2 linked regions of the Xenopus tropicalis genome follow. The protein of the gene in region 2 interacts with the protein of the main gene of each other region in a biochemical or structural test. Links are inferred from orthologs where the notes say so. Each region holds a gene or a part of one and is shown on either strand. Other genes may lie near its edges. The genes, in order: pick1 and grm7.

Region 1 (4,576 bases), about 1.9 Mb from region 2:
TAACCTTTGCAGTCTATATATCATATGGGAGTCTTATGTATGTCCTGTAAAACCTAAAAAAGGGAGCCGTTTTGTAGTCTGCACCAAACATACAAGTGACTCCTTGGGCTGCACACAACATGTATTACTTCCTTATGAGAGGCTGAACACAACATACAAGTGTCTCTCTTATGATAGGATACCTGGTCACACACATACGGTAAGGGTATATTAACAAGTCCACTCACAGTTTGTCCTCTTCAAAGTCATAATCCAGATCAGAAAACATCTTAGATATTGCTGCTTACAAACTCTCTGCTGAATCTTTGGATTCCCCTTTTCGTATTCCCTCCTCTCCTGTCAAACACTGAACTGAGGTGAAAAAAAACAGAGAAATATGTTAGCAGTTCAATAACATTTGCTTTATTGCTTATGCCCCTAAAATTACTACTTCAGGATATAGTCCTAGTCCGACACTATAACATTACAGGAGAAACAGACAGTAATCATTATGGCTCCTCCCTTAATTATAGGTAATAATTATTATTATAACCAACTATACATATATTTTTTTATTTATTTATTTGAAGAAAGTCAAATGTTTGAACTGGTATAAAATGAGTTAAGGTAATATTCCATATGACAGTATAATTTAATTGAACTCTAAATTAATGACTGAATTGCAACCAACTCACACAGCAGTTTTTGTGTTTTGTGCACGCTGCTGGGTGGCTAACTCCAAGTCAGAATCATGTGTGTAACTTTCATTCTGGTAGTTCCAGCACAAGGTAATCTGGTCTGCATAAAAAGAGAAGAAAAGAGAATAGTAAGCTAAATGTCCAAGAAGGCACAATCACCAACAGCATTCATAAGGCAATTTAAAGGATATTTACAATAAATAACTGTGATGTCACATATGGGCCCAGTCCAACCATCTGGGCACATATTTGCTATCGGCTATTCATGTAGGTGAACGTGGCTGACTATAAAAATGAAAAAAAAAAAAAAAATCACTACTGCTGCTGCTCTGCTATTTGCATAAATGGTTAAATCACACAACACACAATCAGGTACAGGTATAGGACCCATTATCCAGAATGCTTGGGACCTGGGGTCTTTCCGTAATTCGGATCTCCTACCTAAGTCTGCTAAAACATTATTTAAACAGTAATTAGTAATTAAACCCAATAGGATTGTTTTGGCTCCAATAAGGGGTAATTATATCTTAGTTGGGATCAAGTACAGGTACTGTTTTATTATTACAGAGAAAAGGGAATCATTTAACCATTAAATAAACCCAATAGGGCTGTTCTGCCCCAATAAGGGGTAATTATATCTTAGTTGGGATCAAGTACAGGTACTGTTTTATTATTACAGAGAAAAGGGAATCATTTAACCATTAAATAAACCCAATAGGGCTGTTCTGCCCCCAATAAGGGGTAATTATATCTTAGTTGGGATCAAGTACAGGTACTGTTTTATTATTACAGAGAAAAGGGAATCATTTAACCATTAAATAAACCCAATAGGGCTGTTCTGCCCCCAATAAGGGGTAATTATATCTTAGTTGGGATCAAGTACAGGTACTGTTTTATTATTACAGAGAAAAGGGAATCATTTAACCATTAAATAAACCCAATAGGGCTGTTCTGCCCCCAATAAGGATTAATTATATCTTAGTTGGGATCAAGTACAGGTACTGTTTTATTATTACAGAGAAAAAGGAAATCAGTTTTTAAAATGTGCATTATTTGATTAAAATTGAGTCTATGGGAGTCTATGGAAGATGGCCTTTCCGTAATTCGTAACTTTCTGGATAATGGGTTTCCGGATAAGGGGTCCAATACCTGTATAAGGATAATTTAATTAAACATTAATGTAAAACAATATCAGTACAGGTATGGAATCGGTTATCCAGAAACACATTACCAACACATTCGAATTATGGAAAGGCCAGCTCACATAGACTCCATTATAAGCAAATAATTCTAATTTTTAAAAATGTATTTCCTTTTTCTCTGTAATAATAAAACAGTACCTGTACTTGATCCCAACTAAGATATAATTACCCCTTATTGGGGGCAGAACAGCCCTATTGGGTTTATTTCATGGTTAAATGATTCCCTTTTCTCTGTAATAATAAAACAGTACCTGTATTTGATCCCAACTAAGATATAATTACCCCTTATTGGGGGCAGAACAGCCCTATTGGGTTTATTTAATGGTTAAATAATCTTTTAGTAGACTTAAGTTGTGGAGATCCAAATTACAGAAAGACCCCTTATCCAGAAAACCCAAGGTTCCGAGCATTCTGGATAACGGGCCCCATACCTGTACCATGTTGTTGCACCAATATTTCTTTTCATTCAAACACAAAACATTAGCTTTGACTGGTTTAATGTAGTTATTAAAATAAAACCGAATAACCGGCTGCTATGAGTTAATGCCCTTTGGCCAGTTTTCCCCCATACTAGTAAAGGGGCAGCTAGCAGCTAGCAGGTAGCTATAAACTTCAGTATCCATAGTCCATAATGAGGCAAACAGTACAGGAAAGAAGCCTATAACTAATAACAGCTTATGGTTGTGCTTAATCATACAGTGCATTCAAGTAGTATCTCTCCAACAATGAACATATTTGCTCTGCCATCCTAATTACAGGCAATTTTAGTTACCCTTTATTATCTATTCCTGTAAGATAGTATCCGCTCTCCCAGCATGCAGTGTTTGATTTCAGGGAATAAAGGTCTCTAGAGAAAGCTGCCATATTACATCACCGCTACCTCCAGGCTACGTCATGAGTGTTGCAGAGAGCTTCAGAGTCAATGGATTCCCGCACGACTATCGGACAGCCGAAACGCCTAATCCCATGTTCCCGGGGGATTTACACAATCCAGCAGCTACCCAATCGCCATAATACCTGTGCTTATAACCCCCTGCACCTGCACCAGCCCTTACCTGTTTCATACGCCCGTCATCATTCCGCACGTCAGTTCCGCTTCGGCCGATACGCAGGCGCAGAAGAGCCTACCGACGCAGCGGCAGACATATTTGTATCGGCTTGTAAAAACCACTCGGGGTGGAAAGCACAGGTTTGAACAACACTCAAATATAGTGACATTTGTTATTTGAACCTTTATAAGCCGTAACTTCCGGTTGTTCACGTCTCACTTATGTTCTTGATGCTTGCATTATTCATTTGAGTCCACTTTAAAGATGGCGGCCACTGGTGAAGGCTGGGGGCGCTTCCGTTCTGACATGCGCAGTAGGTGACGCTGTATTTTTCCCTTGGCTGTGCTATAGATAGGGAGAGAGGCTAAAATGGCCAGTCAGGAGGATCCTGTGCAGAGAGAGATTCACCAGGATTGGGCCAACCGGGAGTACATCGAGGTGATCACCAGCAGCATCAAGAAAATCGCCGACTTCTTGAACTCATTTGGTGAGAGTGGGGGCGGCGCTGTGTCCTGCAGGGGATCCTTCCTAGGGCGTAGGGCCGGCAGGGCTGGGCACTGTATGCCTGGGCGATGGGCAGCGCCTGTGTATAGGATGCCAGCCTCTCCATCCTGCCCTGTTAACTGCAGCTCCCAGAATCCTCTGGGCCTTGTGCATCCCAGTAGCTGTACAGCCTCCAGTGTGACAGTGTCGCCTTGTTATTATCTTACCAATGGCCATGGTGCCTACACTATATAACCATGGCTTGCTACTCCATTACTTGTGTCAAACAAAAGCAATTTATACACTGTACTATATAGATCCCAGCATGTACATTGCAGTGGGTAATTACACTATATATAGAGTGAAGTGTAAGAGTGAAAGCAGCATTTACACTGGGGGTGTAATTAGTAACCTTATTGGGGATATTGCCCATAGTAACCGTCAGATCTTTGCTTTTGTTCTCTAACTGTTCAAATCTAATTGCTGATTAGTTGCTATGGGCAACATCCCTAGTGATGTTGGCTTTCACTCTGTAATAAATAAGCCCCATATGTCTATGAGCAGGGAGAGGGGGAGAATGAAAGCAGCATGTTACACTGTGTGAGTGAAAGCAGGTACATTACAGTGAGCAGGGGATGGAGGGCCCGCACAGGCTGTAGGAATGATGCAGTGATCATGGTGATGGTGGCTAATGGACCTGCCTCTAATGCTTCTTTCCTCACATCCACTAGTAATTGGGTCACTGGGATGCACTGAATCCAGGATTCTGCCAAGATTCTCACACAAATCTATGCCTCTCGCCAAACCTAATTCTTAAAATCAGGTGATTTTTTTTTTTTTAACCCTCAATTGTCCAATTGTCAGTTCGGTATTCAGCCAAATTGTTCACGAAGGATTTGGGGTTCTGCCAAATCCCCAAAATAATGGATTTGGTGCATCCCTATTGGCCACCTTTTCTAAGCAGTACATGAATCTGCATGGTTGAACCACAGAGTACATCCTGGTTGGCAGTATTTGCAAATTAGGGACACTTTGTTGCTGGGTGCCTTTGCCTTATTGTGCCACATCTGCCTCATGTGTGAAGCATAGTGCCATGGTTAAAGGGACCGTATGCCTTCTTTTTAAACATTGGATAATATATAGGTCTTGTGCTGAACATACTTTT
Region 2 (3,826 bases):
TTAAAGCCCACTATGTTTAAGTCTTCAAATCACTTGGCATCAGTTAGGACCCCCAATGAGCATACAGTCCTAGGCCCTCCAGCAATAAATCCTCTGATTCCTATTTCCACTGCTGATTCTAAATCTCCAGCTATTATGTACAAAGTTCTGGGCACCCATGCTCCAACTTTTGGGTTAATATGGCACAAGGCTGCTGGCCACATTTCCATTTAGTATAACTTTAGGAGGAACAACAAACAACTAAAATGCATTTCAAGGCATGGTCCTCACTTTTATTAAAGACAACAATGACTATAAATCAAGGTTATGGGTTTGATGATGATAAACTGTTGTTCCACATTGGCACTATGTTGTGCAGCTTTTTCTAAGGTTTAACTTCAAATCTCCAACCATAACAATGTCTGTGGGTTGGATTAAAATAGCATTACTGATTCCAAAAATAGCCTCTACCCATAATCCGCCAACATCTTCCTGTCTCTTAGAGATCAATGTTCTAGACCACGCCGGAGCTGTGCAAAGCCAATTACATACAATTTCCCCTCGTGCCCAGTTTTCAGCCTGCGTCTCTCGTCCACTAATTTCGCCAATGTTCATTTTGTCTAAAGCAGATGCCAAGATTATTTCTCCTCATCAAAATGATTTAGCTGCAAAAAGTCTGTTCCATTTCTCTGACAGCGTGGCCCCATTCATCATGCTGACAGGATACAATTGAAACAGATGCAACAATGAGACTAATAGCTCAACTGATTCTTATTGATCTGGTGCCATTTTGTCTAATTAATAGTCTACTGACTATCTGCTAAGAACTGTTCTATAGTGCGATACATGCAAGTGGATGTTTTCTTTATCTATCAAGCCTTTCGGTGGCATGTTCAAAGACAGCTTTGGTGCATAATTTATAGCTACAAAGAAGGCTGATTAATTAATGGAGGAGTAGGTGGGTGATAGCATGAAGCTGCCTGCCAGGGAATTCTGGTAGACAAATAGCTGTTTGCACAATACACTCCATATTTTGAAAAGCCGTTAGCCACATAAATCACATTCGGACATGGGAGGTCTGCAGTGTCCCGTTATATCTACATTTCAATATATTAGTTATAAATGTATTAGAAAGAGAAGTCATTCTGTCAACCAATCAGATATCTCCATTGAGCGCAACTCTATTTTCTTGCCACTCCAGGTACCTAATGTAGTTGGAGATATGAACAATTCATGTGCTGCCTTTTATAGACTCAAGCGGTTTGTGCTCTCAGCATCACAATGTGCTAACTCCTTCTCCTGCCACCGCCATTAACATCAGTGTCAGTAAAATGAATAGGAGATAAGAAACAGATCATGCAGATTTCTCACATTCTGATTCAGGTGCAAATGGACCGAGGACTGAATTACTGGCACTCCATGTGGCCATAATAGAACTTCGCAGTGGTAAACGGCTTGATGTTGCATTTCTGAAAATACTTTGCACATAATAGGAGCATTCTCCCAACGCTCTGTAAAACCCTGTACTGAAGATCTGGGCTTTGCCATCAGGATTATTATGTATTAATGCAACTCACACGTTTTGAAGAAGACATTGGGGGCCATGTTTATAAAAGAATGGATTTTATTTTATGCCAAAACGAGCATATCATTTGGTGTAAAATAAAATCCCTATTTATAAATTTGTGAGAGGGCTAATGCCAAATATCACCCCAATTTGTGTGTGCATAATTAATAAGGAATATGGCATTTGGGACCTAACATTTGATCAAATGAATGTTTTCCTCCAACTGAAAGCTGGCATTGGAGAATACCACTGTGTGCCGTAGGCCTACGCCAGAGTGACATAAAAACACATACCAAAACGCTACACTTCAAAGGTCCCAGCAAAGACTATGGAAGTGTTTAGGTAGGACCTGGTGCAAGCCTAGTAAGCCTGAATACTAGTTAGCATTGCCAGTTTCTAGGCAGCTTTACTAGACTGGCAGGGGTTTCTATATGAGGTCTTATTTGCAGCCAGTTTGCACGTGGCAATGTATAAGAATGGCAAAATTGTCATGATATTGGTCTCTTAAAAGGCAATGTGCCTTTTCCCAGAATTCCTGCACACCCCACTAGCTGTAAGCTATGCTTTAATACTGGTTTAAAATTTACACCCCAGTGTAAGGGAAGCATTTACTAAGTTCGATTTATTTTTTCACAATTCGTATTTTTTATTTTTGCGCAAAGTACGGTTTTGTTGCAGAAAAAGCAGTTTTTATCTCCATTTATTATGCAACAAAACTTGCAACAAATCTGAAAGATAAAATACGCCATCTAAAAGCTGTCGAGATCATGTAGAAGTCAATGGCAGGTGTCCTTTTTACAAATGGAAGATCTTTGCTTCGTGGTTTTAGAGGTTTTTGACATTTGTGCAACAATACGAAAAAGTTTTTTCCAATTTTTTTCCATTCAGATTTTTTAATAGATGAATAGACATTTGTGGCTATTGTGGAAACGAGTTTAGTGTTTTCAAAACTCTAAAACCATGAGAATCCAAATGTTGATAAACACCCCGTTAATGTTGTGCACCTATGAATAGGCCTCAATATAGACATCTTTGGCAATTTCTTAAAAGTGATCTTTACCAAAAACGTCCTCAGACTGTATTGCACTGGTTCAGGGATCTTTCAATTTCTTTCAGTATGTACAAATGTTACATGGAAATCCCCTTCAAAATGACCTACGTACCAAAAGGCTGTTTAGAGTAACCAGCCCAGACCATGACTGTAGATGAGAATATGAAGCATATACAGACACGTTTACTTACCTTTTCTGCTGACTGTGAAGTTCCAAAAAATATTGGGATGAAAGCCAGCCAAACTATACAGGTAGTATACATAGTAAAGCCTATCGGCTTGGCTTCATTGAAGTTCTCTGGTACGCCCCTTGTTTTGATGGCATACACAGTGCATGTCACCATAAGGAGGATGCTGTATCCCAAGGAGCATATGATTTGTAGATCTGTAATGTCACATTTCAGGACCCCTCTTGCCTGCTCCGGGGTCACTGTGTGCTGCCCATAGTCAATGATGATACTGGGAGGGGTAACTCCAAACCAAATAAGGACTCCTAACAGCTGGACAGATATTAAACTGGAAGTGATGGCCAGCTGCGAAGTGGGGCTGATAAGCCGTGGGGCTGTCACTGACTTTTTACCCTGTTCGAAAATCCTGTAGATCCTGTTGGTTTTGGTTAAAAGAGCTGCATAGCTGATGCACATGCCCAACCCCAAGAAGATGCGTCTGAAGGAACACACAGCCACATCAGGCTTGGCAATCATGAGGAAGGTGATTATATAGCAAAGGAAGATTCCTGTTAGCAGGACATAGCTTAGCTCTCTGCCTGAAGCTCTAACAATGGGGGTGTCGTTGTACCGTATAAAAGTTGCCATAACAAAGATGGTAGCAATGATTCCAAGCATAGCTAAGAACACAGGAATTACAGCCCAGGGGGAGTGCCACTCCAGCTTGATAATGGGGATGGAGTCACAACCAGTACGGTTTTTGTTGGGTCGCATATTGTAGTCACAGAGGTTACAGGTGAATTCATCCCGCAAGTACTTATAACCATCACACAACTCACAGTTCCAACAACAAGGCATGCCTTTAACCATCTTCTTCCTCTCACCCATCATACATGGCAAGCTGCAGACTGAGGGTGGGATCTCTCTTGGTCCTTTAGCCCACTGCATGTCTTCGATCTATGACAGAAAAATGTATACATAAAGACATAAATATTAGGGATAGACAACATTTGGCATCTCTCAATGGGAAGTCTCATTACTACTCTTTCCAGCAAAACTGGA

What was found.
Region 1: the proteins of grm7 (region 2) and pick1 form a complex in vitro, tested with the Homo sapiens proteins (2 studies listed by BioGRID, with this or other methods). The link is inferred for Xenopus tropicalis from reciprocal best matches to the Homo sapiens genes GRM7 and PICK1.

Annotation. Positions count from the first base shown.
Region 1 is NC_030680.2:128,860,027-128,864,602, reverse strand, and holds the start of pick1 (PRKCA-binding protein), read right to left. Parts: upstream 2,845-4,576; 5' UTR 2,760-2,844; exon of another isoform or gene 2,652-2,759; intron 778-2,651; 5' UTR 675-777; intron 352-674; 5' UTR 269-351; coding exon of another isoform or gene 250-268; coding exon 228-249; intron 1-227. Other genes in the region: brk1 (protein BRICK1), read left to right, coding at 3,298-3,415. UniProt on the Homo sapiens protein: Probable adapter protein that bind to and organize the subcellular localization of a variety of membrane proteins containing some PDZ recognition sequence.
Region 2 is NC_030680.2:130,721,749-130,725,574, reverse strand, and holds part of grm7 (metabotropic glutamate receptor 7 precursor), read right to left. Parts: intron 3,722-3,826; coding exon 2,789-3,721; intron 1-2,788. UniProt on the Homo sapiens protein: G-protein coupled receptor activated by glutamate that regulates axon outgrowth through the MAPK-cAMP-PKA signaling pathway during neuronal development.